3 linked regions of the Alligator mississippiensis genome follow. The protein of the gene in region 2 binds, or shares a complex with, the protein of the main gene of each other region. Links are inferred from orthologs where the notes say so. Each region holds a gene or a part of one and is shown on either strand. Other genes may lie near its edges.

What was found.
Region 1: TADA3 (region 2) and TADA2B share a complex: the UniProt entries of both Homo sapiens proteins name them as parts of the TFTC-HAT complex. The link is inferred for Alligator mississippiensis from reciprocal best matches to the Homo sapiens genes TADA3 and TADA2B.
Region 3: TADA3 (region 2) and TAF6L share a complex: the UniProt entries of both Homo sapiens proteins name them as parts of the STAGA transcription coactivator-HAT complex. The link is inferred for Alligator mississippiensis from reciprocal best matches to the Homo sapiens genes TADA3 and TAF6L.

The regions. Positions count from the first base shown.
Region 1 is NC_081825.1:25,914,981-25,924,613, forward strand, and holds the start of TADA2B (transcriptional adapter 2-beta), read right to left. Parts: upstream 4,971-9,633; 5' UTR 4,953-4,970; coding exon 4,683-4,952; intron 1,098-4,682; coding exon 105-1,097; 3' UTR 1-104. Other genes in the region: CCDC96 (coiled-coil domain-containing protein 96), read left to right, coding at 5,214-5,783, 6,495-7,040. UniProt on the Homo sapiens protein: Coactivates PAX5-dependent transcription together with either SMARCA4 or GCN5L2.
Region 2 is NC_081835.1:471,602-481,234, reverse strand, and holds TADA3 (transcriptional adapter 3), read left to right. Parts: upstream 1-4,417; 5' UTR 4,418-4,777; coding exon 4,778-4,984; intron 4,985-5,072; coding exon 5,073-5,320; intron 5,321-5,425; coding exon 5,426-5,531; intron 5,532-6,268; coding exon 6,269-6,410; intron 6,411-6,703; coding exon 6,704-6,807; intron 6,808-6,885; coding exon 6,886-6,995; intron 6,996-7,087; coding exon 7,088-7,273; intron 7,274-7,357; coding exon 7,358-7,550; 3' UTR 7,551-7,904; downstream 7,905-9,633. Other genes in the region: tubulin monoglycylase TTLL3, read right to left, coding at 1-479, 561-675, 760-1,551; ARPC4 (actin-related protein 2/3 complex subunit 4), read right to left, coding at 2,791-2,796, 3,338-3,508, 3,596-3,691, 3,792-3,903, 4,016-4,134, 4,228-4,230. UniProt on the Homo sapiens protein: Functions as a component of the PCAF complex. The PCAF complex is capable of efficiently acetylating histones in a nucleosomal context. The PCAF complex could be considered as the human version of the yeast SAGA complex.
Region 3 is NC_081838.1:3,249,638-3,259,270, reverse strand, and holds the start of TAF6L (TAF6-like RNA polymerase II p300/CBP-associated factor-associated factor 65 kDa subunit 6L), read right to left. Parts: upstream 4,513-9,633; 5' UTR 4,370-4,512; coding exon 4,217-4,369; intron 3,626-4,216; coding exon 3,539-3,625; intron 3,415-3,538; coding exon 3,264-3,414; intron 2,988-3,263; coding exon 2,937-2,987; intron 1,190-2,936; coding exon 1,095-1,189; intron 695-1,094; coding exon 620-694; intron 79-619; coding exon 1-78. Other genes in the region: TUT1 (speckle targeted PIP5K1A-regulated poly(A) polymerase), read right to left, coding at 5,011-6,218, 6,302-6,394, 7,862-7,984, 8,116-8,225, 8,363-8,577, 8,787-8,917, 9,022-9,136. UniProt on the Homo sapiens protein: Functions as a component of the PCAF complex. The PCAF complex is capable of efficiently acetylating histones in a nucleosomal context. The PCAF complex could be considered as the human version of the yeast SAGA complex.

The sequences.
Region 1 (9,633 bases), on a different chromosome or scaffold from region 2:
AGAAATCCAATCTTGGGGAAAGCGAGAGAAAGTAATGGAGTCCTGTAGCCCGCGGTGAGCCTTTTGTTCGTGGGGATGGGGGGGGCGTTCATTTCAGACAGGTTTTATGAGGCGTCCCTGGATATCCAACCACTTTCTGTTAGAAAATTTAAAATCCTTTTCTTTAGTACCTTATCTAGGTTACTGGGAAGGCGACTTTTTGAAGGAATTCCTTGTCTTTTTTGAAGATGGTCTTTAATTATTATAGTTTTCACAGTCACGTAACGTGCCGGACTCAGATTCAGAGAGCTGCAGAGCACCTTCTCTCTGTCTGACAAGAGTTCAAAGTCCGGCAGGTTTTCAATTGCAGCAAATTCACCATCTTTGCCATCTTCCTTTCCTCTCTTGGAACTGGCAATGTTTTTATTCTCCTTCCTTTTCTCCCGTTTGTGTCTAGCTGCCTCATACTCTGCTGACTCCTCCATTTTGGTGATCCCATTTCGACGGTAGCGCTGCAGCTCTCTAATCTTTGCTCGAAGTATCCTCTCCTTGTGCATGTTCTCAAAGAAGTCTTCAAACTCCTTACAGGACATGAACTGATACAGGGGCCTCAGTTTTAGCCTCAACTCCTTTTCTTCTTTTGTGATCTTGCGTTTTGGAGCCTTTTCCTTGTCCTTTTTATCCTTCCCCAGAAAGGCAGGAACCAAGTTATAATCTCGTGCAATATTTTTTCGCCGTTGTCTCTCCTTAAGTTTTCTTACGTACATATCCACATGAGCTCTTTTTAATTCTATTTCCACATCATCATCATCATAGTTCACTGAAAGGCCACTGATCAGAGTCTCAGCATCTTGGTCGTACTCAATCTCATAGTCATCCCGAAGTGGCATGTACCCCAGCTGCTGCTGCTCTGCCACTGATATGTCCAAAGGTGGGAGAGGGGTGGTCAAGCTAGGAGAAAGTGGGCCACCGCTGGGGCAGGTGTGATCTGTAACTCTGTTGGGGATGGTGTCAGGGATGCAGGCTTTTCCAAGGTTACCATGGATATACATGCTTACATAGTGTTCCATCACTTCCTGGGGAGTTCGGGATGCTCCAACATGAGCAGCCATATCCTCCTAGAAAAAGAACAAAGTCAGAGATTACTGATGGACTGATCATTTCTGAGTTATGCCCAGTGTCACGGATGAGACCTGCATTATCCACACAAACATCCAGCTTTAGATGGCAAAACTACCCAAACTCATATTTTTTTTAAGTTTTCTCCTACACAAGTAAGCAACAATTTTCATAACCATATGCAGACAGAGAATTCACTTATCATCCAAAGAGCTGTTGTGTCAACATTTGGAGACTAAAGTCAAGAATTAAAATATAAACAAGAATTCTACTCCAAATGTAGTACTCCCTGCAGACTCAGAACCAATAACCCCAAATGTAATTTTGGTTTTGCTCAACTGGTTATAAATACATTTTTATAAAAGACACAGGTGAAGGGAGAGGGGAAATCAGTACTTAAAATTCTCTCACAAGAATATTTTTATTTAAGTAAATAACTACACTCAAAAGTAAGTATTTAAAGGGTTCTGGCTCTGTTAGGTAGTAACAATTTAATTCAAGCATCATCAATATGAAAGAGAGAGAGCCATTTTTCTATGTTGCACCTAAACGAGAAAAGAATTTGTTATTAGAGGGTAACAGGATGTTGAGAGGGCAAGAAATGATCTGATAATAATAGCACACTGGAGAAAAACTCAGAATGTGGTAGAGACACAAAATAAGGAAGAAAGAACGGAGGACATTAGATGTGCAGCACCCCTCGGGTTTTTTGGGAGAGGATACATTTTTAAACTCAAATATCTAAAAAAAAAAAAAATCCTGTTGTCAAAGCTCCTTGAAAAACTTAAAATCATCCCTCACTACAACTCCCCTTGCACTTGTATAACATGAATACACTAAGTCCTCACGTAGTTTCTATCTTACCTAGTTCAGTTTTCTCCTCTTCTATACATTAGAAGACAAGGCTAGACAAAACATATCCAGACTGTGAGAAACTTGAACCCTGATCAGATTTTACTGCTGTTGTAACTGTTGCTTAAAGAAATCACAAAACTATTGGCTGACAAAAGCCTTCCAAGAACAAACAAATGAACAACGATAAAACTTCCATTACTAGGTATCTAAATTAAATGGAACAGCTTTGGATGCCACAGTGCTGTGCTTGTATCTTAAATAAATCAGCTAACACTGCATGGCATGTAGCTAGATCAGACTGTGTATAAAAGGATGTTGCTCTGGCACTGCACAGTCTTCCAGAAATGTCCCTCGCTCCCGCAACCCTGATCAACAATGAAACAGTTAACATCAACTTTGCAAGTGCCAACATCTTGAGTTAACATTTCCTGCACAGGAGCTGCTACTTTGTTTTTTAAAGACTCAGAAAGACAACAGGACATCCCATTCACTTAGTTTTCCTTCATCTGACATCATGTTCAGAAATACACAAAACCCTGTAGCAACCTTGTTTGCTGAGCTCCAAATAACTATTCTTAAACACTGGCATTTTAAGAACTGACTTGAACATAAAACTGCACAACAAAAAAGTCATCCACAGGTTGTATTATGTTAAATACGGTCTAAGCAGGGACTACAGATTCTTATCCCATTACCTGGATTATCTTTAAATCCTACGGCTTTGCTGTTCCTGCCATCTCCTTCACCTCTCTCAGTACTGCCCACTCTCCCTTCTTCTCCTCTGTCTTTAAATCGCATGTAAAGCAGGAGGACCATGGTGGCTAATGCCCTGCTGTTGCAAAGGTTGTTAATACAGGCTCAAGAGATCAAAGAAGACTGCCACAATCCCTGCTACAGAAGAAGGCAAACCTTCCAGTCCATACCAATCTGAACTTCAGGTAAAATTTTTTCCTGACCCCAAATGTGGTGATCAGCCTGACGCTGAGTGGAGAGGCAAGACCCTCTAACTGGGAACATCTGGGTTTAAGTCTCAGCAAGAGCACTGGTACAACCTCAATCACAATCTGCAACCTTGGCTTCAGCATAGCTTGCTATGTCCCTTCGCAGTGTCCAACAGAGACAGCTGTTGCTCGTGAAAACTTATGCAACCCTGATTTGGTTACCCTAGGCACACCTACCCTGCTTCTGCCCGACTTCAGGATAACATACCTGATTACCACTCACCTGAACGAGCTAGAAACCAAGTGCTCCCCCACCTCTACCTCAGCATAAAGATCTTAGGCTCTGCCAAAGCTCAGTCTCCTGAGCCAAGGTGGACACATAGTACTTCACTTGGACATCACACCAACATCTGCTGCCCACCACAGCCAGAAAGCAGCTGCACACATGAGCTGCACAGTGACATGAGCCTAGCAGCTGTCAAGAAAACAGATGCAAGCGAAGCAGAAGCATGGACAGCACGGGCAGGCCGGAGGCATCAGAAAGAAGCATCCGACTTTTGGAAGCTGGGGCAAAGTCAGTACCTGACGACAAAGGCTCTGGTGCTGGAAATGACCAAGCTTCCTGTAAGCCCTTGGGGTGCAAGATGCTGCGGTGGGGCAGGGCAGGAAGGAGGCAGCAGCATGGGACAACAGGGTCTGCAGCACCATGGTGTCAAGGACTGGGGATTTTACCAAGAGGTTAAACAATAGATTGGTAGATGGTTTGGGTAGAATCAATCACAATCATGGAGTCGTAGGGGTGGAAGGGACCTCCAGAGCTCATCTAGTGCAACCCTCTGCCTGAGGCACAATCATCCCTATCCAAACTATCCCGTACAATCTGTAATCTAAGCCAGGGGTCAGCAACGTTTTTGGGCAGCGTGCCACAAACCCTTTCTGAACTCGTAAGATGCTGGCGTGCCGGGAGCAGACGGCAGGAGAGCTGCGAGGGGTCTGATCCTTCTTACAGCAGCGCAATCCCAGCCCCTCCTCCGCTGTCTGTCCCAAGACGCACACACACTGCTGCTGGCACCGAGCTGGACCACAGCTCTGCAGACCCCAGTGCAGCTGCTTGCGGCCTCCCCATCCCCTGCCGCGAGCAGCCTGGGATCCGCAGTGGATGGCCCAGAGCCCAGCCCGGCTGTGGCAGGCATCTGGGAGACCAAAAGCAGCCGTCTGTGGAGCCCCAAGCCGGGTGGTGCGCGTGCACCTTGAGCTGGACAGTGGGAAAGGGGCTGGGGCTGCCACCAGAAGGATCCGGCCCTCGCAGCTCCCCCACAGCCAACCCCAAGGACTGAGCAAAATGTCTTCGTGTGCCGCACTGGGCACGCACCGGGGTGGGCGACCCCTACTTCAAGTTCTGTGTGATGCGGCCGCTAGCCTGGGCGCGCGTGCCACAAACCTGACACGCGGCGCAGGCACCTACCTTAGAGGCCTTCAAAAGAAGGCTGGGCGCGCGCCTGGCTGGGGTTACGCGAGCCCAGCCGCCCAAGCAGGGGGACCAGACCTGATCCCACCCTACGCGTGTGTGGACCGGTGACAACGGGCCCAGGTCAAGCAGGGGAACCACCGCCCGCTCCCGTGGCCCCGCGTGGAGGGAGACATCCCCCTCAGGGAAAGGGGGCGCCCTGCCGAGCCCGGGGGCGATGCCCTCCTGACCCCCGAGGAAGGGGCCGGCTCGGGCTGGGCGGCCGCTCCCGCTCCCCTCGCGGGCGACGCTGCGGGAGCGGCTGCCGGCCGCGTCCTTACCCAGTTGCCGAAGCCGAACTGCTCGATGGCGTCGAGCAACAGCTGCTCCTCCCGGCTGCTCCAGCCGCCCTCGGCCTCGGCGCCCCACAGCGTGAAGCGGCCGCCGTCCACCAGCTGGTAGCCGTGCCATCGGCGGTGCGGCCCGATCTCGGCGCCGGCCGAGAAGCAGTCCGGGCACAGCTCGATGTCGGCGCACTCGGTGCAGCGGAAGCGCAGGGAGCTCACCTCGGCCAGGCAGTACACGCAGTACTTCTTCCCCAGCTCCGCCATCTTCCCCCGCCCCGCCCCACATTGCGCACGCGCCGCCCCGCCCCCGCCAATGGCCGCGCGCCCCGGGGGTAGGGCCCCGCCGCGGCCGCCCAATGAGCGCCAGGGGGGCCTGCTCCGCCCCCTCCAATCCCGCCGGGGCGGCGGGGCAGGGCGACAGCGCGCGCCCCAATGAGGGCAGCGACGCCGAGCCGGTTTCCCTTCGTTACAACCAATCAGAGCCCTCGTGGGGGGGGGAGAACCGTTGCTCCGCCCGCCGTTACCATGGAGACGGGGGAAGCTGCCGCCGCGTCTCAGGGCGCCATGGAGCAGCCGGAGGAGGCTGACGAGGAGGAGGAGGAGGAGAAGGAGGAGGCCGAGGCCGAGGCGGAGGCCGAGAGCCCCGAAGCGGGCTCGGCGGCGGAGGCGCGGCGGCGGGCGGAGCTGGTAGAGCAGTACCGGGCGCTGCTAGTCGAGCGCGAGCGGCTGCGCCAGGCCACGGCGCGCCAGCAGTTCCGGCTGCGGGAACTGCTGCTGCAGCGCGGGAAGCGGCCGGACGAGCCGCCGCCGCCGCGGACCGAGCCCGACGCCGAGGAGCGCTACGCGCGCTGCCTGGCCGCCCTGCACGACCTGCAGGCCCTCCGCGCGCAGGAAGCCGCCCGGGCCCAGCGCCGCCGGGCCGCCCAGGAGACCGCCTGCGAGGAGGCGCGGGGCCGCGCGCGGGCGGCCGCCGCCGCCTACCGGGCCTGCGTGGCCGAGGCGGCGGCGACGGGCAGGCGGCGGCCGGGCGGGGAGCGGGCCGAGCTGGAGCGCCTGCAGGCCGCCGAGCAGCGCAAGGACGAGGAGATCAGCCAGGTGAGGCAGCACGGGGCTTCGCGTTACCGTATTGTTCTGTCACTAAAGTGCGGGAGTACACCAGGAAATACGGCAGCAAGCGCTCCTGGGCAGGAAGGAAAGTCAGGTTGCTATATCTTCCTGTCAGTAATTGGGATGCGTGAGTATGCAAAGAAATACAGCAGCGAGCGCCCCACCAGCTCCTGCGCAGGAAGGAGTGAAGGTCGCGTTACTATATTGTCCTGTCACTAGTTGTGATGCGCGAGTACACCAGGAAATACGGTATCAAGCGCTCCATGAGCTCCTAGGAAGGTCACATTGCCGTATTTTCCTGCCAGTAGTTAGGGTGATTGAGTATGCCAAGAAATACGGCAGCAAGCAGCCCACCAGCTTCTGAGCAGGAAGGAAGGAAGGCCACGTTACTGTATTGTCCTGTCACTAGTTCGGATGCATGACTACACCAGGAAATACGGTAGCGAGCACTCCATGAGCTCCTGGGCAGGAAGGAGGAAAGGTCACATTACCATATTGTCCTGTCGGTAGTTGGGGTGCGTGAGGATGCCAGGAAATACCGTAGCCAGCGCTCCAGCAGCTCCTAGAAAGGAAGGAAGGTCGCATTACCGTACTTTTCTGTCAGTAGTTAGGGTGCGTGAGGTACTTTTCTGTCAGAGTTGGGGTGCGTGAGGATGCCAGAAAATCCTCACACCTTTCTGCCCACTCCCACCGTTTCAGGTACGCCTGGAGAACATCAAGCTGAAGCACAAGATTGAGCAGCTAGAAGCAAGACTGAAGGCCCAGGAGGAGCTGGCTGAAGGGCTGCACCTCATTGACTTCGAGCAGTTGAAGATCGAGAACCAGACCTACAATGAGAAGGTGGATGAGCGCAACGAGGAGCTGCTGAAGCTCAGGAAGAAAGTCACCACCACAGTGCAGGTCTTGACACAGCTCAAAGAGAAACTGCAGTTCGTGGAAGCCGAGAACCAGGAGAAGAAGGTCGAGTTGCTGGAGATCGAGGCAGTGCTGGCACAGAAGAGAGACGTGCTGACCAAAACTAAGCAGGCCAGGGATCGTTTACGGGCAGACAATCAGAGGCTGCAGCAGAAGTGCGGCCTGCTGGGGAATGAGGTGCTGCTGCAGGACTTTGAGAACAAGGTGGATGCTGCTCAGGTGCTGAATCAGCAGCTGGAGAACCTGAAACAGCACCATGCTGGTCTCACCATTGCCTGCAAGGGATTCAAGAAAAAAATTAAGGAAGCCAAATCCTTTCTATCGCCGTGAAGATACCGGAGGGAGGCAAGATCTTTAGAGACACCAAAACCGGGGGTGGGGGAGACTACAAATAAAAGTACTGGGAAATACCAAATATATATTTTTTTTTGTACAGGCAAAAGAATAAACTAAATATTTTACTGGAAAATAATCTCCTTTCTAAAGCATGTTTACTACTATTTATTGTGCAGGAGACTGCCATGCAGTTCTGCCTATCAAATGGCCCTTGAAGAAACCAAGCACATTTAGCCATTTTTTAATTGAAATATTTCACACTTAACAACATATCTGACATTGTAACCCCTGGCAAAGACCGAATCAACCTAAAGGTCTTCTGGTTCTGCTATTAACACATCTTGTGGCCTCTGCAGTTTCAGTTTCATTTTTGGAAACTCAAGCATACTCACCTGGTCGTTAAGTACATTTTTTTAAAATACTGAATTTTTAAAGCTATTTCTAAAGCTATGAATGTGCATTACACACACTGTTTTTCTTTGCTGTTCCGATTAAGAAATTAAAGGTAAAGAATGATTTGATGCTTAAGGTCACTACAAAACACAACACTAAAAATACAATATTTCATAGTTGATCTTAAAATTTCAAACCCAGTAGTCATGGTGACTCAGCTAAGAAGTTAAATCAGTGGAGAATTTAATTCCAGAAGCTCTGATTCATTAATCATTAGATAATTTCAACTACATATTCAACATACGTGAAAGTCTTCTGAGAAATGATAGACCGGAGGTTGTAACATTCCAATTACAAAATAAAAAACAAAAATACCATCATTACTGTCCCGTTCTAAAAATGTGCACACAAACTTGTCTTGAAATGCATTGGCCAAACTAGTGGCAACGAGACTAGTACATGGTGCTAAGAAGCTTGGAACAGGGGCTTACCCTTGCTTGTTTCTCCAAATGATCTCTATGGTAGATCTTTTATGGGGTTTATTTTTTTGAACCACTTCACTTCAAATATTGGCATCACAACTAAAAATGGATGCAAGAGGGCACAATTCAGTCTGTAGCAAAGAAGCAGGTCAGTTCAGTACTGAGAACTTGAGCCTTATTATTATTAAGCCATCCCACACAGGGTTAGCATTGACAATATGGTCCAGTAAGTCTTGCCTTGCCTCCTCTTAGAATTTAATTTGACCAGATGCCCCGGAAGAGCAGTTAAAAGATCTGTCTTTTAAAGAACAGTTAAAAGATGCAGTAAAACACACTACAAGTCACACTTATTTGTACGTACTGAAGCTCGACTAACTGCTAAACCTGCAGTAGTATGGAGGCAGTTTGAAAAGTAGGGTGTTACTTAAAATACATTTTACTGCAGAGTTAATAACTTTGTACCCATCACTAGTCAGTATAAGAAGAAAATTATCTTAAATCAGAAGTGTCAAAAGCATCTAGCCCTGCAGGCTGGATCAGTGGTGCAGGGCTGGCTACCCCTGCAGACTGGATCAGGCCCACAGGACCTCTCCCTCACCATGCTAGTTCAGGACCTGGTATGAAGAGGCTGGGTACTTGGCTGCTACCATGGGAACAAGCCACAGTATCAGACTTCTTACTGCCATGCTGCTAGGGCTTGGCTCCAGGATCGCAACTCTTGCCTGGGCACTTTGCTGCTGCAGGAACAAGCTGCAGTCTTGGTCTCCTTTCTGCGGCACTGCTGGGGCTCTAGCACTGTTTCTCTCTCCTGGGTTCCTGGCAGCCAAGCCAATGACAGCTGTGCTGCTGGAGCCCTGCAGCTGCAGCCAAATGCCTGGGCAAGAGCCATGGCACCAGAGCCCCAGCATCAGCATGGGAAGAAGCCTGGTGTCATGGGTGCTCGGCTGCCGTGGGAACAAGCCACAGTGCCAGGCTTCTTCTCTCAGTGCTGGAGCCTCAGCAGCATAGCAGCTCATACCCAGGTACTTGGCTGCAGCCATGAGAAGGTCCTCCCTCACCCCCATCAAGGCTGTGAGCCATATGATCTGGCTCTGCAAGCCAGATGTGGCCCAAGTACTCTGTTTGACTACCCTGGCTTAAAAAAAAAAGAGTAGTCTTGTGCAAGTGAAGCACTTGTTTATTTTTGCATTTTGGTAAAAGGTGTAACAATACAAGTAAAAGATTCCTTGAACCAGAATTGCCCCATCTACTTTGTCTCATGTAACTTGTAGATCAACTTGTAGTTTTATCCCTATGCCCTCTTCCATACCACTTGTGAAGAGAAACCACATTTTGTGCGACTCTCCCAATTCTAAACAGAGTAGCAAAGTTACTCCTATTCACTGAACCAGTTTAACTTTGGTCCCAAAGCCTTGCCAGGATGGCTGGATTTTCTTTTCAGTAATCAAGCTGCATTTTTCTTTGAGACTAAAAAGAAATTTTAAAAAGATAAAGTTTCCCATAAGCTGTTTACTTTAATAGACTAAAGATCAAGGGCTAACATTCCTGTTGTTTTCACAACCATGGGAAATGACAAGTGATGGGGACAGCAGGAAAGAGCTTCCTTGGAAAACTCCTCTGTGCTGGCATTTGCTCTTTGCTCTTGAGTTTGTAGATAATTTGGGCATGCATGCGTGCACATGTACACACCCAAAAAACTCCCCCAAATGAGA
Region 2 (9,633 bases):
GGGGAGCGGGCTGCCCCGCCGCCGGGCAGCCCCCCGCAGGGACACTGAAAGGGGGAGCAGCAGGGGGCTCCCTGCTTTGTCTGGCAGGCCTTGCCCCCCAGGCCCATGATGCAGCAGGGAGGTCAGTGAGCTGGGTGGAGCTGGCTGGGGGCTCAGTGGTCTCTGGCTGTAGGGGGCTGTGCTCTGGGCATAGCAGGGCACCAGAGGACCAGGCACCCCCTGCATGTCCTCTCCTCCTGGATACCGGGGGCAGGGGCAGCTGTCCAGCTGCCCCCAGCTGGCTCCAAGGGAGGAGAGGGTCAGCTTGGCCCTGGCATTGTCACGTCCCTGGTCCCGTGTCCACCACCTACCAGGGGATGTGCTGGCCTCTGGGGGCCCCTCGTGCGTGGAGTTGGCCCCGGCCTCCCGAGCAAGCGGGCCACCGGCCCTGCTCAGCACCACCTTGAGCAGGCTGCGGGCAGCAGTGAGCCGGAAGTCCTCTGTGGCGGCAGGGGGAGAAGGTGTCAGCTGGCACGGGTGGCAGCGAGGGGGTGGCATCTGGCCCTGGGAGTGGCTCTCACCAATGAAGGCCTGCTTGTCGTCCTCGGCGCCCAGCCGGTAGCAGCGGGGGAAGAAGGTGTCGGCGTCGGCCTGGTCGAACCAGGGCAGGTTCCGGAGGTTGAGGCACAGCCCCACCTGTGGGGATGGCAGCCGGGCCTGGCGAGGCAGCACCGGGGGCTGCCCCCCGCCCCGTGCGCCCGCAGCCTCCGCGCCCCGCACCTTGGTGGTGAAGGAGCCGGCCCGGGCGTAGTGGTTCATGACCTGCTCCTTGCGCAGAGCGCGGCAGTCCACGACGTCGCGCCGGTTGGTCCAGATGAAGTAGGGCACCTGGTTGCGAGCCAGCCGCGACTGCGGGGGCAGCGGGTGAGGGCCTGCCCCGTGCCAGGCCGGGAGCCCGCCCAGCCCGGGCCCGCACTCACCAGGAGGCTGTAGGTGCCCTCGGGGTCCTCGTCCTGCCCCTCCTCGCCCTCGCCCTCGCCCTCCTCCTCGGCCGGGGGAGGGGAAGAGCGAGCGCCGGCGGCGAGGGCGCGGGCCGCCCGCTCGCCCTCCGGGGCCGCGGCGCTGTCGTCCGCCTCGGCCTCGCGCTCCCGCCGGCGTGCGGCGCGGCCGGGCCGGGGCAGGCGCTTCTCCACCCAGCCGCGGGCGCGCAGCAGGCTGCGGATCACCGGGTAGGGCCCCTGCACCACGAAGATCTTCTTCTGCTGCGGGGACAGCGCCGCGCTGGAGCCGGGCAGGGGCGGCGGCGGCCCGCTCCCCCCCGCGCCCCTCACCTTGGCGGCGCGCTCCACGTGCAGCCGGGCCTGCTTCAGGCGCTCGGGCTTGAGCGCGGGGCGCTGCCGGCCCCGCTCCGCGCCCGCGCCCGCCCCGCGCCCCCGCGCCTCCATGGGCCGCCGCCTCGCTCCTCGGCCGGCCGCTGCGGGCGGGCGGGCGGTGCGGTGCGGCGCCGGCAGCGCGGGGACTCGGCCGAGCCTCGGGCCGCCCCGCCCGCCACGGCCTGTTTGGCGTCTCCATGGAAACCGGCAGCAGCGGCCGCAACGATCCCTCCCGCCGCGCCGCGCCGCGCCGCGCCGCGCCGCGCCGCGCCGCGCCGCGCCCCCGCACGGGGCAGGCAGGGCCGCCGGCGGCCGCGGGGAAGGGAGCGCAGCTATTTATAGCCCTCCCACCCGCAGGGGAAACCAGGGGCCGGCTACAGCCGTGACTCAGGCCCGGCTCTCGGCGCAGCACCACCCCCAGACCGCCGGCGAGGAAGCATGCAGCCCCTGGAGGCATGAAAAAAGGCTTTAATAGGGAAGGTTTCAGAGTAAGAAAAGTTACAGCAAGTGCAAAAGCAAAAGAACCAAGAGTTACAGATTCCAGCTCCGTCAGGGGAGGCCCTGCTCTGGGCAGAGCCCCGGCTCCCTCCACCACAGGCAGAGGGAGCAGAGGTGAAGGCCAGCGGCGAGAGGACGTGCTGCGCCGGGAATGCCCTGTTCCTGGGGGCGGGTTGAAGGAGAGGGGGCTGCATGCGTGCCTGCCGACCGGGGTGCCCAGGCACAGCAGCTGCCACAGCCGCTGTGCCTGGACCCCCGGCTCCAGCAGGGGGGACAAGCTGCAGCCTTCCCCACTCCGCCCCCGCAGGGAACAGGCAGACTGGAGCAGGCACTGCCCAGGAGCAGGGAGGTGGAGGGCCCAGCCCCAGCCCGAGAGAGCTGCAGTCCTGCCCTAAAAGCAAAGCAGGCCCCTCTGCTGCTGGGCCAAACCCCTGCAGATGGCACCAGGCGCGGCCTAGCTGCGGCCCGAGCACTAGGGGCAAGGAGCCACATTTGGCAGCTAGCGGGCACCCCCCTTTGCAGAGAGGCCCTGCTGGACGCTGGCAGGGCGGCCAGCAGCTGCCAGCCTCGGGGCAGGAGACACGCATCGCACGTGCTGTCCAGCGCCATAGCAGCCAAAGCTCCCCTCCAACCCCGCGCCCCCACCGCTAGGAGAATCGGAGACGTTACAGCAAATGATTAGTCATTTAAAAAAGAACATGGAGTCGACACAGTCTCAAACAAGCACGGTTTGCTTCAAATATTAACTCCTCCCTCCCTTCCCTGGGGACGATGGAGAATGCAATGTACATTCCACTGGACAGCTCCATAAGATCTGGCTGCTTCTCATCTCTCTTCCCGAGAGCAAGGCCCAGGCTGCGGCCCCCCAGCCTGGCAGGGCGGCTGTGCAGAGACGCAGGAGAGAATGAGAACGTGAAGCCGTGGAGTCCAGCACCATGGTCTAAAACTGGGCAGGGGCGAGAAGAGACAGGCCGTTAATGGCTGCAGGTCTGATTTCCGGCCACACACCGCACAGGGCCAGGTTGGCGCCCTGCCAGCCCCCCTGCGTCTGCACAGCCGAGCCGCCTCAGCCCGAGCGCACGAGGGCGGGATGGAAACAATCAGCGTGGGAAGCCGGCACTGAGGCCCCTCCCACAGCGCAGCAGGCTAGAGACATCCCTTCTCCCCCCGCTGCCTGCCCGAGACGCTCCAACCCACAGCTTCTGCTTTCGCTCCCAACAGGCTGCCGCGGATGTCACCAGCCTCCCTGCAGCGGGTGGGCGGCCTGCCCCAGGTCTCTCGGCCCTGCAGGGGCTGCTGCACCCCCCACCGCTCCCTGCACGGGGAGCCTCAGCCCCCCACGCAGGGGCCAGCGGGCAGGGGCTTCTTCTAACAGGGGGGTCAGACAGCCTAAGCAGGCCGCTCTGCTCCCCTCCACCGAGCCCTCTAACAGAACCGTGCCGCTGCCCCGCACCACGGGCGCCCACCGCCCCGCCTGCGAGCCTCACGTTTTTGAGGAACTCCTCCGCCACAATGCGAGCCCTGGCATTGACGGACAGCTTCATCTCGCTGATCTCCTTGTCGATCTCCTCCATGAAGTGTATCACGAAGTCCACCAGCTTGTGCTTGTACATCTGCTCCGTGTGGAAGTTCGTGATCAGGAAGCTGATGTCGTAGCCCTGGGGGAAGAGGAAGGGGCGAGCGCTCAGCCCTGCTGTGCCCGGGGCCCAGCGGGAAGCGGCCCGGCCCGGCCCGGCGCCCCTCACCTCCACGGCCTTCCTGCGCAGGATGAAGAAGTTCTCGGCTCTCATCATCATGAACCGCATGAACTTGTGGCAGAGGATCTTCTCGATCTCGTCAGCCTGCGGGCAGGCGAGGGGGGGAGCAGGGGGGCGGAGGAAGTCAGGCTCGGCCCCCCCGCCCCGCCCCGCGCCGCCCCCCCGGGCCCCGGCCCCGGCTCACCTGCTTCACGGCGATGCTGACCCGCACCGAGTTGATGGACCCCTCGATCAGCACCTTCTCCTTCTCGTTCCGGCTGATGATCACGGGCTGCAGCAGCAGCTCTTTGCTGCTCCTGGCAGCCGCCCACACGTCAGCCCCGGCCCCGGCCCCCGCCCCCGCCCCCGCCCCGCAACGCCAGCGGCCCCCGGCGCGCCGCCCCCCGGGCCCGGGCCCCGGCCCCGTACCTGACTTCCACCTCGGGCTTGTTGTGCCGCTCCACCACCTGCGACGAGAAGTTCTCCAGGCAGAGCGCGGCCTGCAGCGTGGCGCGCACCGCGCTCAGGTAGGGGCGCAGCGTGGCGGTCTGCGGGCAGCGGGCACGGGTCAGCGCGCCCCGGCCCCCGGCCCCGGCCCCCGCCCCCGCCCCGCTTCCCCGCCCGGCCCGGCCCGGTCCTACCATGGCGGCGCTGACGGCGGCTCCGGTGGGGTCCCGGGAAGCGGAAGCGGAACTAGCGGCGCGGGCGGCTCCTCTGTTCCGGGACGGGCGGCACCGCCCATTGCGCCCCGGGGGCGGGGGGGGGGGGGCGGAGCGCTGCAGGAGCCGCAGCCGGAGCCACCCCCTCACGCGGGAGCAGCGGCCGCGCCGGGGCCGCGACTTCACCTCCGAGGCCGGGGTCCTCTCGCCGCCGCGGCCCCGAGCGCCCTGAGCGCGCGCCCCCGCCAGCGGGATCCGCGCCCCCCCCTCCCCCCGCGCCGCACTTGGTACGGCCCCGCCGCGGCCTCCATATTAGGGAACGGAGAGCGAGCGGGCGGCGCGGCCAATGGGGATCTCCGCGGGGTGCGGCCCAGCCAATGAGGAGCGCGCGGGGCGGGCGCTGACTCTGGCTACGGCGGCCGGAAGGGGCTGAGCGCGGCCGCGGCGCGACCCCGGCGGAGCGCCCCCGCCCCCCGCGCCCGGTGCCGGCGGCGGCCACGTGCGGAGCGCCCGGTGCGCGGCGCCCGGCGCGATGAGCGAGTTGAAGGACTGCCCGCTGCAGTTCCACGACTTCAAGTCGGTGGACCACGGCAAGGTGTGCCCGCGCTACACGGCCGTGCTGGCGCGCTCCGAGGACGACGGCATCGGCATCGAGGAGCTGGACACGCTGCAGCTGGAGCTCGAGACGCTGCTGTCGTCCGCCAGCCGCCGCCTGCGCGTGCTGGAGGCCGAGACCCAGGTGCGGGGGCGGGGCGGGGCGGGGCGGGGCGGGGCAGGGGGGCCGGGCCGGGCCGGGCCGGGGCTGAGCCGCGCCGCGCCGCCCGCAGATCCTGACGGACTGGCAGGACAAGAAGGGGGACCGGCGGTTCCTGAAGCTGAAGGAGCACGACCTGGGCGCCCCGGTCAAGCACGGCAAGCCCAAGAAGCAGAAGCTCGAGGGCAAGGGGGGCCACGGGCCGGGGCCGGGCCCCGGGCGGCCCAAGTCCAAGAACCTGCAGCCCAAGATCCAGGAGTACGAGTTCCCCGACGACCCCGTGGACGTGCCGCGCATCCCCAAGAACGACGCGCCCAACAGGTGCGTGCCCGGCCCCGCCCGCCCGCCTGCCCCGCTCCGCCCTGCCCTGCCCTGCCCTGCCCTGCCCGGCCCCCTCGCAGCACGGCTCTGCCCCTCCCCCCGCAGGTTCTGGAACTCGGTGGAGCCGTACTGCGCCGACCTCACCACCGAGGAGCTGCGCGTGCTGGAGGAGCTGCTCAAGCCGCCCGAGGACGAGGCCGAGCACTACAAGGTGAGCGCCCGCGGGCCCAGCTGCGCCCGGCGCTGCCGCCGAGCTCGCGCCCTGCACGCTGCCCCCGGGCCCGGCCTGGACGGGGACCGCAGCCAGGCGATGCTGAGCCGATCCCGTCCCCCCCACCGCTGTCGGCCCCAGGGACCCTGTCGGGGGCCTGAAAGCCCAATGCGGCGCCAGCCAGGAGGGGGCGTTCTCTGCCCTCGCACCAGGCACCGAGCAGCATCTCGGGCGCCAAAGGACGCCCACGTGTCGCTGCCAGGCAGGGCCAGACAAGCGGTCTCTGCCACCCCGCAGGGCTCCCGGCTCGGCCATCAGCCTCTGGCTGGTTGGCAGCAGCAGAGCACAAGGGAGCGCGGGGCAGGAGTTGGAGGTGATCCTGCAGGGGCTCGGCGCAGGCTCCTGGCGTGGTCGGGCGCATGGGGCAAGGCCAGGGCACCGGAGCAGCCCCTTGTGTCGGCAGCCCAGGGCCAGGCACGGTGCAAAGCTCCGGGTGCGATGGGCGTTCTCAGACTTGACGCAGAGAAGCAGGGACGCTCAAGTGGCCCCTCCCTGAGCCTGCCGATGTGCTGTGAGCCTGGCGCCCTGTGACTTCCTGGAGGCAGGGCCTGCAGCGCTGCAGGAGCCTGGGCGCTGGGCCGTGGGGCTGGGGCACTCCCCTGTGGCCGTGTTCCCCAGGAGGGGACGGCGGCTCGGGGCTCCCCAGCCGCGTGCTGCTCACAAGGCTTCTGTTGCAGATCCCGCCCCTGGGGAAGCACTACTCGCAGCGCTGGGCCCAGGAGGACCTGCTGGAGGAGCAGAAAGACGGCGCCCGCGTGGCTGCAGCTGCGGACAAGAAGAAAGGCGTCCTGGGGCCACTGACCGAGCTGGACACGAAAGGTGCCTCTGGCTCAGCCCTGCATCCCGGCAGCTGGGCACAGGGGCACCTGGTGCGGGGCACGGTCTGGTTCAGCCAGGCCTGGGGAGCACAGATGACCTTTGGGCTCCGGGGCCCTGCCCAGCACGCGGGCACCTTGCTCTGCAGCCTGCCTGGGCACGCTCTACGGGGGGGCAGGTGGGGTGAGGCCTGGGACCAAGAGCCACAGGTGGGAGGGGGGTTCCCTCGCTGCTCAGCTGGCTCGGGGGCCCATCTCCCCAACGCTGCTCATAGCCCCCTCCCCGTCTCCCTGCAGATGTGGACGCACTGCTGAAGAAGTCGGAGGCCCAGCACGAGCAGCCCGAGGATGGCTGCCCCTTCGGCCCCCTGACGCAGCGCCTCCTACAAGCGCTGGTGGAGGTGAGTGGGGCTCCGGGCTGGGCCGTACTTGGCCCCCGCTGCCCAGCGCTGACCCCTGTCTCCACGCTCTGTTGTTAGGAGAACATCATCTCCCCCGTGGAGGACTCCCCGATCCCCGAGATCGTGGGCAAGGACTCGGGGGCTGATGGCGCTGGCACCTCGCCCCGCAGCCAGAACAAGCCCTTCAGGTGAGCAGCCGTGGGGCCCCGCTGCCCTCTTCCCTGCGGCCCGCCTTGAAAGGGCCCGTGGGGTGACAGCAGCCCGCCCTCGTCCCTGGCAGCGTGCCGCACACCAAGTCGCTGGAGGGGCGCATCAAGGAGGAGCTGATCGCACAGGGGCTGCTGGACTCGGAGGACCGCCCGGCCGAGGACGCTGAGGACGAGGTGCTGGCGGAGCTGCGCAAGCGGCAGGCGGAGCTCAAGGCGCTCAGCGCTCACAACCGCGCCAAGAAGCACGACCTGCTCCGGTGGGTACCGCAGGCGGCCTGGGGGCCGGGGCCGGGCCTGGGCCTGGGCCTGGTCTGGTGGGGCTGACGGCTCTGCCCTGGCAGGCTGGCCAAGGAGGAGCTGCACCGGCAGGAGCTGCGGCAGCGCGTGCGCATGGCGGACAACGAGGTCATGGACGCCTTCCGCAAGATCATGGCCGCGCGGCAGAAGAAGCGCACGCCCACCAAGAAGGAGAAGGACCAGGCCTGGAAGACCCTGAAGGAGCGGGAGAGCATCCTCAAGCTACTGGACGGCTAGCGGGGCTCTGGACTTGCCCGCGCCGCCCCGCTGGAGACTGGCTGAGCGCGGGGCCGTGTGCCGGGGGGGGGCCGCGCTCCCTGGGGTCGGGGCTGCGGGGGGGTGGAGGGGCCTTGCTTGCTGCCATGGAGCGGGGCGGCCGGGCCCGCACCCCGGCTGCTTGTCTGCCACGGCCAGGCGGGCGCTGCGCCGCCCTTGCCCTCCCTCTCCCCGGGCGCCTCTTGCTGTGACTCCCCTGCCCCTGGCTGCCCCAGCCCAGCTGGCCCGCGGGGCGGCCGATGTGGGGGCGGCCCCGCGCCCGGGGGTCGCGTTGTGTGCGGCCCGCGCCTGCCCTCAATAAAGCCCGTGCGCGAAGCCTGCGCTGTGTGCGGTGCGGTGCGGTGCGGTGCGGTGAGGGAGGGGGCGGGGGGGGGGCAGTGAGTGGGCCCCGCCCCCCCCGCGCTAATTTTAGCTTGGCCCCGTCTCCAGGCACCCCCGCCGCCGCCCCCCGATTGGCCGCGCCGCGCCAGCCCCGCCCCCTGACGTCACCGGTGGCTGGCCCTGGCGCCGGGGGAGCCGCTGCGCCGGGCGCGGGACCGTGCAGCGCCGAGCACCGCCCGCCCCCCCGGCCCCGCCCGGCCCCGCTCCGCTCCAGCGCGGCCCGGCCCGGTAAGCGGCGGCGCGGGGGGCGCTGGCCGCGTGGGTCCGTGCCCGGGGCGGGGTGCGGGCTCGGGGCGGGGCGGGGCGGGGCGGGGGTCGGTCCCGCGCGCTGCCGGGCCGGGCCGGGCCGGGCTGGGACAGGACAGGACAGGCCCCGCCCCGCCCCGCCCCGCGCGCTGCCCCGCGGCCCCGCAGCAGCTGCCGTTGTCATGGCAACTGCCCGGGATTCTTCCGAGGCCGCAAAGTTTGCGGAGTGGACGCGGGCCGGGAGCCGACGGGCTGCCCGTGGCCCGAGCCGCGCTGCCCGTGCCGCGCAGGGGGCTGGAGGTCCTGGCCTGGCAGCGCGGGCCCCGGGCCCACCCTGGCTGACACCCCCGCCTGCCGCCCGCGCAGGCCCCGAGCTCGGCCGCGCCGGCCCTGGGACGCGCAGGCAGGCGGCCCGGGAGGGACGATGCCGCTGGGAGAGGACGGCCCCAGCTGGAAGAAGAGGACCCAGGACATCCGCGACATCTACGAGTTCCGGGAGATCCTGGGCACGTGAGTCGCGCCGCGCCGCCGGGCCGGGCCCCGCCGCAGCGCCGGGGCTGGGGCCGCTCCCGCCACGTGGCCCGCGCCGCCCTGCGCCGGGACGCTGCAGCCCCCGAGCCTGTCGCCCCGGCCCTTGCTGGGGTGTCGGGTCCCGTTGCCCCGGCGCGGCTGCGTCGCCTCGGCCCCCATGCCCGCAGGGCTGGCCTGGGCCTGGAGCGGGAGCTCCGTGGATGCCTGCCGCCGAGGCAGGTCCAAAGGTTGGGGCCTGCGCCCATGTCAGGAGGAGCCAGGCCATGGCGGGGCTGGGCTGTGCTCTGCGTCCCCCGGGCAGGGGTGCTGGGCTGGCGGCGTGTGGCATTAGGCCGAGCAGGCGCGTGCCGCCAGCATGGCCGTCTCAGGCGCTCGGGAGGGATTAGTGTAATCACGGAGGGGATGAGAGACCGGGGATCGCCCGGGCTGTTCCCACCCCTGCACTGAGCCTGGCAGGCCTGGGCACGGCGCATGGAGGGAGCCCGCCAGGCCCAAGCAGCCCCAGCACCGGGGTGCTGGGCTGGGTCCCATGGCCGCCCGCCCCCAAGTGCAGGCCCTGGAGCTGGGCATGTGGCGGGAACCCTGTGCTGGGTCGCCGTCGGAGCAGGAGCGCGGGGTCCTGGGCCAGAGCCCCCGCGCCTGCTCGGCCTGGGCTCCCTGCGCACGGCCCCTCCTGGCTGCAGCTGCCCGCTGCGGAGGGGTCCTGGCTCTGGCGGCGCCGGAGTCCCCAGCACAGCCCCAGCAGCTGCTGCAGCTGCCCGCGGGACTCGGCCTCTGCGAGGCCTCCCCAGCAAGGCCCAGGCTGCCGGGGTGGTGCGCGGATGCACAACTGCCTCGGCCCCGGCCGGGCTGCTGGCCCTCACAGGCTGGCAGCGCCCTCTCCCCG
Region 3 (9,633 bases), on a different chromosome or scaffold from region 2:
GTACGGGTTCTGGATCAGGCTCCGCGCGATGTGCAGCAGCCGGCTCAGCTGCTCCAGGTCATGGCTGACCGACTTCACCTGCAGTGGAGCCAGGGGTCAGCCCCAGGCCCCGGTCTCTGACCCGTGACCTACCTGCCAGCCCTGGACGTGGCTCCACTGTCTCCCAAACCTGCCCCCGCCCTCAGCACTTCACCTGCAGGGATGGAGTGGGGTCAGGGGTCACCACCACAGCCCTGACCCCTGATCCCCGTGGTCACCCCAAACATTCCTGCTCCCCCCAGGCACAGCTCCACCATCCCACAAGCCTGCTGCCACCCCCAGACTTCATGTGCAAGAACAAAGCAGGGTCGGGGGTCGCTGTCAGCCCAGGCCCCAACCTCCAGCCTTTGTGCCACCCCTGGATATGCGCTGCCCCCCAGCCCTGCAAACCCGCCCCCACCCCCAGGACTTCCCCTGCAAGATCAGAGCAGGCTCAGGGGTTACCATCAGCCCCAAGCCCTGACCTCTGACATGACCTGCCCAACCTTCCTGCCACACCTGGACATGGCCCCCCCCCCCCGAATTTCTCCATAGGAACGGAGCAGGGTAACCCCCTCTCCCTGCCCGCAGCTCCACTCACCCCGCTGACCACGTAGACGAAGTAGGGCAACAGCGCCGCGATCTTGGAGTTGGTCTGGAGGTCCTGGAGGGCGACCTGCAGGTGCAGGGGGCGGGAAGGGCTTGGACCACAGGCAGGTGCCCCCGGCAGGTCTCCAGCCTGACCCCAGGCCCAGAAATCACTCCCCCGCTGCAGTGGAGACCAGGAGGCCTTTACAGCAGGGCAAACTCCTGCCCTGGCAACGCTGGGGGAAATGCCTGGGCAAGCTCTGGGCTCTCCGTCCTTGGGGGAGAGGGAGCCCTGCTGCTCTGTGTGCCTGGCCCTGGGGCTTTGCTGGCTAGGAAGGAAGCTCCCCCCCCGGGAGAGCAGACACTGGGCTGTCAGGGCTCTGTTGGGGGTGACCTGGAGGCTCCTGGCGCCCTGCTCCGAGTCACCACCAGGCTGACTTGGGGGTCAGAGGGGTCTGCCCCATGCCACTCCCCCTGCTCCCACCCACCTTCATCAGCTGGGGGTCGTCACCCAGCACGGCCCGCGTCACGTGCTGGTAGTAGTTCAGCAGGTCGTCCGTGAGTGTGGAGACAGCGCTGGGCACTGCGGGGGGAGATGCATTAGCGGGAAGCTGCCGGAAAGCCCCCCATGTGGCCGCCCGAAGGAGGCAGGGACATGGGGCCGTGGGAGCAGCTCCTCTTGGGGGACCCAAAGCTGGAAGGAGCCAGGGATGGGGGAGTTGCAAGGGGAAGGGGAATCAATTGGGTGGGCAGATCACAGCCAACACAGGCAGCCAGGGGCAAGGGGGGAAGGCCGGCTGGGAAAGGCAGTGGGTGGTGGGTTATAAGACCCTAAGTCCTGCCACGACTGGGTCCACCTGGCCCAGTCTCCAGAGAGCAGAGGTGGGGAGGGACAGACATCGGGTCTTGGCAGGATTTTCCTGTTCCTCTCCCAAGTGCAGCCCCCAGCATTGAGGATCCAGGTAGTTCTGCTACAGACTCCGAGCCCCTCGCACCCGTGCTCCAGAGCCACTGATGCCTCTTTCCTCCAAGGACGTGTCCAGTCCCTTGGGGAACGGGGCTGAACTCCCAGCTCCCCCTGACGTCTGATGACAACGAGCCTCGCGCTCAAATTCCAGGCAGGGGGACAAGAACTGCCTGGGCTTGGTTTTAAACTGCCAACCTGCTGATTTCACTGCGACCCCTTGTCCGTGCCTGGTGAGAGAGAGGCCACAAGAAATCCCCGAGGACTTCCTCTCCCACACTGAGTAGGTCGTAAACCCTCATCCTAGCCCCTGGCTCTGTGCTGACCAGGCCCGTCCTCCTTAGTGTCTCCTCCTAAAGAATCATAGTCAACGGGGGTTGAAGGGAGCTCAGGAGGTCACATCCAGTCCAACCCATGCTCCAAGCAGGACCAGCCCCAACTGCAACATCCCAGCCAAGGCTTCATCTACCCAGGTCTTCAAAACCTCCAAGGATGGAGACTGCGCCACCTCTCTGGGAAACCCGTTCCAGTGCTTCACCACCCTCCTAGTGAGAAAGTTTTTCCTAATATCCAACTTAAACCCCCTTGCTGCAGCCTGAGCCCATTACTCCTTGTCCTGTCGTCTGCCCCCGCTGAGACCAGCCCAGCTCCAGCCTCTTTGCAACCGCCCTGCAGGGAGCTGGAGGCTGCTATTCAATCCCCCTCGGTCTTCTCTTCTCCAGACTAAGCCCAATTCCCTCAGCTTCTCTCCACAACCATTTTCATTGCCCTCTGCTGGACTCTCTCCATGTCCACATCCTTTCTGTAGGGGGAGGGGGGACCACAGCTGGACACAGGACTCCAGATGTGGCCTCCCCCGTACAGAATAGAGGGGAAGAATCACTGCCCAGGATCTGCTGGCAGCGCTCCTACCAATGCAGCCCAGGATGCCAGCAGCCTTCTTGGCAACAAGGGCACACTGCTGGCTCATAGCCATCTTCTTGCCCACTGTCACCCCCAGGCCCTTTTCTGCAGAGCTGCTGCCCAGCCCGTCACCCCCAGCCTGTCCCGGTGCATGGGATTGCTCCGTCCTCAGTGCAGGCCTTTGCACTTGTCCTTGTTGAACTTCCTGAGATTTTTGTTGGTTTGATCCTCCAGTGTGTTGAGGCCTCTCTGAAAAGCCCCTCTCTGGAAACCCCTCCAGGCTGCTAATCCCTTGTTGCCCCTCTCTAGACTCTCTCCAGCTCCTCTCTCCCCACGTGGCGGTGCAGGGACCAGAACGGGGCACAGCACTGGAGGGGTGGGCGCGCCATGGATGTTATTCTTGCCAGGGAGCTCCTGGGGCTGGGGGGCACTGTGCAGGGGCGGGGGATGCTGAGGCTCTTACCGCTTCCCTGAGGCTCCAGGTTCCCTTTCCCATCCAGGTAGGAGACGTGCACTGCGAAGGTGAGCGGGGGGCGGGGGGGGGGGGGGGGGTCAGATATTCCTGCTGATCCCCCACAGCCCAGTCAGATGATCCTCAAAAGCCCCAGCCCAGGACTGGATGGGGAGGGGGTAGCCTGGGTGTTCCCCAGAGTCCCCCAGGGCTGGGAGCAGGGGGCAGAGACCCAGGATGAGCCCAGGGGCAGGGGAGACATCTCCAGCCCCAAGCAGCCACAGCCCAGGGACGTCCAGCTATTGCGGGGGGAGGGTCCCGCCGTGGGGGGCCACATACCTCTGACGGCCGCCTCGGCGCAGCCCTTGGGGATGTTGGTGGCCAGGGCCAGCTCCACCAGGTTGACCTCCCGGTCCTCCTGGAAGTACAGCTCCCCCTCCTTGACCGGCCGGAAGGGCAGCGCGTCCTGGGAGCCGTAGCCGCAGATCACCTAGGATGACCCCCCGCCACGGTCAGCCAGGGCAGGGGGAGGCGCGAGCCCCCTTCCCCCCAGGGGCACGAAGGCTGGGGGGGGGGGAGGGGGGCAGCCGATACAGCCCCCCCACGACACTCACCTCTACATTGCTCCAGCGCAGCGCCCGGTTGAAATCCTCTACCGTCAGCTTGCGCCGCTTGGTGTGCTTCATGAACTGGGAGCTGTTCTGGCAGTGGGGGGCAAGGGGGGCGTCACTGGGACATGGCCCCCCCATAAGGGTGGGGGGCAGTCAAATGGGTATGGGGGGACCGGGGCGTGGTGGGGTCGGGGGGCCTGGGGAGAGTGGCGGGTGGTTTCAGGGGCGCACGCAGGCACGGGGGGGGGGGGGGGGGGGGCAGGGTGCGCGGGACCGGGGTTATTGATGGGCACGAGGAGCGCGGGCGGGTGTGAAGTGGTATCGGGGGCACGGGGATCTGGGGAGCCCACAGGGGCACGGGTGGGGGCCACAGGAGAGCGGGGCCGTGGGGCACTGGTAGTCACCGGTGAGCATAAGGAAGCGGGGGTGGCATCGGGGGGCACTCGGGAGGTGGGGGGGATGGGGTGACTGGGGAAACACGGGGGTGTGGGGGGCACAGGGGTGCGGGTGCTGGGAGATGGGGGACGGGGGGTGCAGCAAGGGGCTGCTGTGGGGGTGGGGATGGGGGCAGAAAGAGCCTGGGGGGGGGCGATGGGGGTCACGGAGGAGCCGGGAGCAGCGCGGGGCGGGGTCGCAGGGAGGAAGCGGGGGGCGTGGCCGGGGGCGTGGCTTGCCCCCTACCTGGGCGGCCTCGCGCAGGCGGTAGCAGACGTCCTCGGCCAGCAGCGCGGCCACGTCGTCGGGCAGCTCCGGGCCCAGCCCCGCACTCTCGGCCATGAGCCGCACGGACTCGCGGGGCAGCTCCACGAAGCGGCGCTCGTCGCGCTCCGCCATGGCCGGGACGACGCGCGATAGCGCGCACACACGTGCGCGGCCGCGCGCCAAGGGGGACCGGCCCCGGCCCCGCCCCCCGGGGGCGCGCGCCAGCCAGCGGGGAACCCCCGGCCCTCTGCTGCCTGGGGATGACGTGGGCGGGCCGCTGTCACGTGACGCCGGGCTCTTAAAGGGCCCGCGCCACTCGAAACCCACGTGGTTCTGGAGCTCTTAAAGGGCCAGGACATGGTTTCTGCCACGCCCCGCCTCCCTTCTCACACCTCTGGGGGGCGGGGTGACCCTGGGACCAGGCCGTGGTGCCCTCAGAGCTTCCCGCCCCCGCGCTGAGCTCGACCAAGCGCCAGAGCCGGTCGTGGGGCGCCCAGGGCTCTGCCAACAGCAGCCGCGGAGACGGGCACCGTGCAGCGGTGCGCAGAAGAGGCTGCCGGGCCAAAGCATCAGCCTGAACCGGGCAAACACGTCTGCCATGTCCCCCCACCCCAAACCCAGAGGGGACAGAGAGGGAGATTTCCCCCCAGCTCACAGGAGACAGGACACGGGTTGGGACACAAGAGCGGGACCTTTATTCTCCCCCCAGCTGGAGGCGGCGCGCACACAGCAGGGCAGCGTCCCAGCGTCCTGAGCCCACGCAGCTGAGTCGCTCACTGGGGGTCTGCCTCAGCCCCAGGCTGGACTGGGCGGGGGGGGCCTGGCTCTAGGTCTAGCTCTGTCCTAGGCACTGGCCCTGGCTCCGGGCTGGCCTCCCCCACGCGGCTGAGGTAGCGCTGGAGCATGGTGGGCAGGAAGCTGTGCAGGAAGTGGTAGAAGTCCTGGAAGAGCGTGGCGTGCTGGGGGGCAGGCGTGAAGCGCAGGCTGGCCTGGGCGTCCAGGCGGGCGCAGGCTGTGAACTGCAGCAGCGGCTCCCCGCTTGCCTCCTGCCGGGCAATGGCCGCCGACACCTTCTCCTCCAGCTCCAGGGACCGTGCGGCCTCCTGCTCGGTGCCGGCCTCTGCCAGGGGACTGCTGTGCTGGGGCCGCAGCTGCCGCCGCACCCGGCGCCGGCCCACCCACACCCGGTGCCACAGGGCGCAGCTCCAGCTCACAGCCCCTGCTTCTTCCAGGGCCTCTGCTCGCGGCCTCTTCCGGGCAGGGGAGACGGAGACAGGGCTGGGGATCCCCTCCTCTTCGCTCAGGGGGCGCTTGAGCCCAGCAGCCGGTGGCGTTCCTGGGGCGCTGGGGGCATCCACAAGCTCCCTGGGGGCATCCACAGGCTCCCTGGGGGCTGCCGGCTGCTGGGCTGGGGAGGTTGGGGGCTCCCCCGTCTCCCCCTGCTGAAGGGATGCCCCGGGGGGCTCCAGGAGCTGCTCTGCATGTCCAAGGGGCTGACGCTGGAGCTCCGTGCAACTGCACTTTAAGACGTCTCTGAGCACAAAGGCAACGCCAGCGCACACGTGCCCAAACCAGCTCTGCCGGGAGCTGGGATCTAGGCCCAGCTCACGCCGACGGGCAGCCGGGGCCAAGGGCAAGGCGAGGAGCAGCCCGTCAGAGTCCAGCTCACCAGCCTCAGGCTGGAAGAGGCGCACCAGGCCCCAGGGCCGGCCCTTGGCAGACTTGCGCTGGTACTGCAGGCTGCGGCAGTACTTGGCGGCCCGGGTGCAGCAGACCCGCAGGCGCTGGGCCATGCGCTCCGTGACGTTGGTGGCCACGTTGTGGCTGCGCTCGAAGGGGTCCTGCAGGGTGACAGGGCCCAGGCGCAGCCCCGCACCCGCCACTGCCTCCAGGGGCAGCACCCGGCCCTCGCACAGGGAGATCACGTGACCTGAAAGCTCCTGTTCCCCGAACTCCCGGAAGAAGTCGGCCAGAAGGACGCCTGGGGGGAGCAGGAAAGAAGTGGGGTGAGGACAGGGATCCCTGCATGGCCCCTCTGCCCCCAGCCCCCCCAACGGCACTCACACAGGCTCTCTGTGTTGGTGTTGGGCTCCAGCCGTGCCGCGTCCCGGGGGAAACTGCAGTCCCACCCGTCCACGACCATCCGCTCCTCATCCCCTGGAAGGAAGGAGATGGTTAGCGATCCCCAGCCACGCCACGCAGACCACATGTCAAGGAGGTCTCACCCCCCAGTGCTGTGCTGGGGGTGTCCATACACTCCCTCCTCATGGAGGCTCCGGTCCCAGAAGCAGCTCCGTCCGAGTCACTGCCATCAGCAGGTGGGAGATGGCAGGCGCTGGGGGGGCAGCTCCCTGGAAGCCCTGATGCACTGGTCAGGGATCACTCCCGTGCTAATCGGGCAACCCCAGGAAAAAGCAAGGGTCCATTTCCCCGCTCCCTGAGCCTAGAGATCATCTCAGGGAAATGGGCTACGGGGCACAAGTTATGACTCAGTTTCCCTGTGCCAAGAGGTCATTAGCTCAGAGATATATAGGCCAAGTCACAGGTCATGACTCAGTTTCCCTGTTCCCTGAGCCAAGAGATTGCTGTCGTAGAGAAACGGGCGGGAATGCAGACATCTGAACCTGAATGGGATAAAACTCTTCCACAACAACTCGCCTCGACCACGAGGGCAGACTCTGAGAGCACCGAGTCTTCATCCGCTGGCGGTGAGGCTGCGTGGTCTCTGCTGGATGTAGCTGTTCTGGGTCACGTGGCCCGATTGTTGGTATCCCAGTAAACCAGCATACAATAACTGGCATGCAATAAACCAGAGCACAGCATCCCAATACACCGGTGCATCATTGGGAGGAACTTGCTTTGGTTTCTCTGGATCATATCAAAGCCCCCAGAACCAGCCTAGGGGTAACACCCAGAGGAGAGGCTGTGCCTTGGTGTCTGGGGGCTGCCAGATGCAAGCCGAGCTCCCCCAAAAGCCCTGGTCCTTTTGGGACTTGGATTTTCCACCCCAGGGTTTCTTTCTAGTTCAGGCTCCCAAGCCCAAGATCATGGAGGCCAAGGCTAAAGGGAGGCGGCTGTGGTGCATCCGGCTTTTGTTTTAACTCAAGGTCAGGGCCTGGCGGCCAGTCCCCTCCTGCCCTGGGGCCTTCCTGGAGCAGGTGGGAAGGGCACCAGGCAGGGCTGGGACTGTCCTGCTCCAAGATAAGGACAGGGCTGAATACAACTCCTGGGACCCTGCCAGGCCTGGCACCTCATGGGCTCCTGGCCAACGAAATGGAGCATGAAAGCTGCTGGATTCAGGGTACAGGGATGTCACATGCATGTACATGCACGCACCCTCCACCCCCGGCTCATGCTCTCGCACACAAGCACACACACACACACCCACACATGTGGCAGCTCCAGGCAGCCCGTGTAACTGCAGCTAGTTTTGGGCAGGGCACATGGCTCTCTCGTGGGCACCAGCCAGGCTTCACATGCCAAGCTCAAGGGGACGTTTTTCGCCACAGAGCTGCCCTTTGCTTCTCTTACTGGTGCCCGGCCTCCTGGTGCTCCTGGACCCAAGCAGCCCCTGCCTTCCCATGCACAGACATGCACAGCCCCAGGGCACAGAGCATGCCCTACCTGCCAGCTGCTGGAGACGGGCCACAGTGGGCAGGATGGGTGGGGAGCGCGTCTGCAGGAAGAAGATCACCAGCAGCGTCAGGGCATAGTTGGTGAAGAGTGGGCCGCCTCCATGAGGGTTACCTGAGAGGGCAGACACAACTGTGAGATGGGGGGCTGTGTCCTGCACCCCCAACTCTCCCCCAGACTGGCCCAGCCCAGAGCCCTGGACAAAGCCACAGCCCCCAGCGAGAGGGGGAAGGGGAGATCCTCACCCGCCAGGCCCTGCTGCTTGGCCCAGTAGCGCAGCACGTAGACCAGCGGTCGCACTCGCTCGTCAGCCTCAGTGCAGAGCTGCAGGAACTGCGTGTTGCACAGACCCAGCCTGGGGAGGGTGGGGGTTGGGAAATGTCAGGGGGGGCAGCCCCCACTCCCACCTTTGCCTCTACGGTGGCAGCTGCCTCAACAACCTGCCCCTCCCAGCGCAGCAGTCCCCAGGCCCCCACGGAGAGCCCGCGTTACCGGTTGTTGAGGGAGATGTCGCCGCACAGCCCCGAGTCCTTGTGGCTGAACTTGACAACAGGGCGCCTAGCACTGGGCACGGCCTGCACACGGTGGACCCCGGGCACGCAGCTCTGCAGCACGGTGCGCACCACCTCCAGCACCTCCGGCGCCACCCCCAAGTCGATGTCACTCAGGATCGAGTCCTCTGCGGCCGGCTCTGCCCCCTCGCAGCACTATGGGGGAAGCCAGGGGCAGGGGGAACAATTACCAGGGGGAGGAAGGAGCAGGACAACTCGGAACCTGACCCCCCCGGGTTCTGGCACTAGCTTTTCATGTTAGGCCGCAGGGTCCTGGCATTGCACCCCCTCCCTGGCACTCCCTGAAGTTCCCTAGCAATGCCCCCTCTTAGCCCCCCCGGAGTCTCAGCGCTGCCCCCCCTCACCTGTGCCTCAGGGACCCCCTTGGCCGAGGCCTGAAAAGTTTTCGTCTTCTCCAGGTCCAGGAAGAGATCAAGATCACAGCCATGGACATCGAACCCATTGATGGATGAGCCAAAGGGGAGGACGGAGCAGCCTGGTTGCAGGAGGGGGCAGAGGTCATGCTGACGTGGGGGAGGGGGGCGGAGGTCACTGTTATGATCCCCATCCCCCCCGACCCAGCACAGTGGTGGGCCTCACCAGGCAAGAACTCCTGGAAGACCTCCTGGAAGAGGGTGACCAGCAAGTGTCGCAGGCGGCGCTCGTCCTCAGAGAACTCGAACAATTGCACCAGGCGTCGCATCTGGGCATCCACCTGTAGGTTGGGTGGCAAAGAGCGGGGAGGCTGTGAGCCGTCAGTGCACAAGACAGACCTGGGAGCCACCCCAGACCCTGAAACCATCAGCACAGCCACTGTCACAGAGGCAGACACAAGGGTGGGGAGGAGAAGGAAGAAGGGAATTGTGAACACAACAGAAAGGATCATGATGCCCATTTCTGCATCTCTGGTGGGTCCACAGCTTGAATACTGCACCCAGCACTGGTCCCTGCACCCCCAACGAGAGAGAACAGAGAGGTGCGCAGAAAGGCAACAAGACTGACTGGTAGTTTGGAGAGGCTTCCCTAGGAGAGACTAACGAGGCCAGGCCCAGTCAGGGTAGAAGAGAAGCTCGAGAAGGAGAAACAAACCACTCAAGGGGGAAGAAAAAAAGTCAGCAGGATTTACTACAGCCTGTCCCTCAAGACAAGAAAGAGGAGCCACAGTGAGACGAGCAGGCTGTCAGCTTAAAGCCAACACGAGGAAGTTCTTTC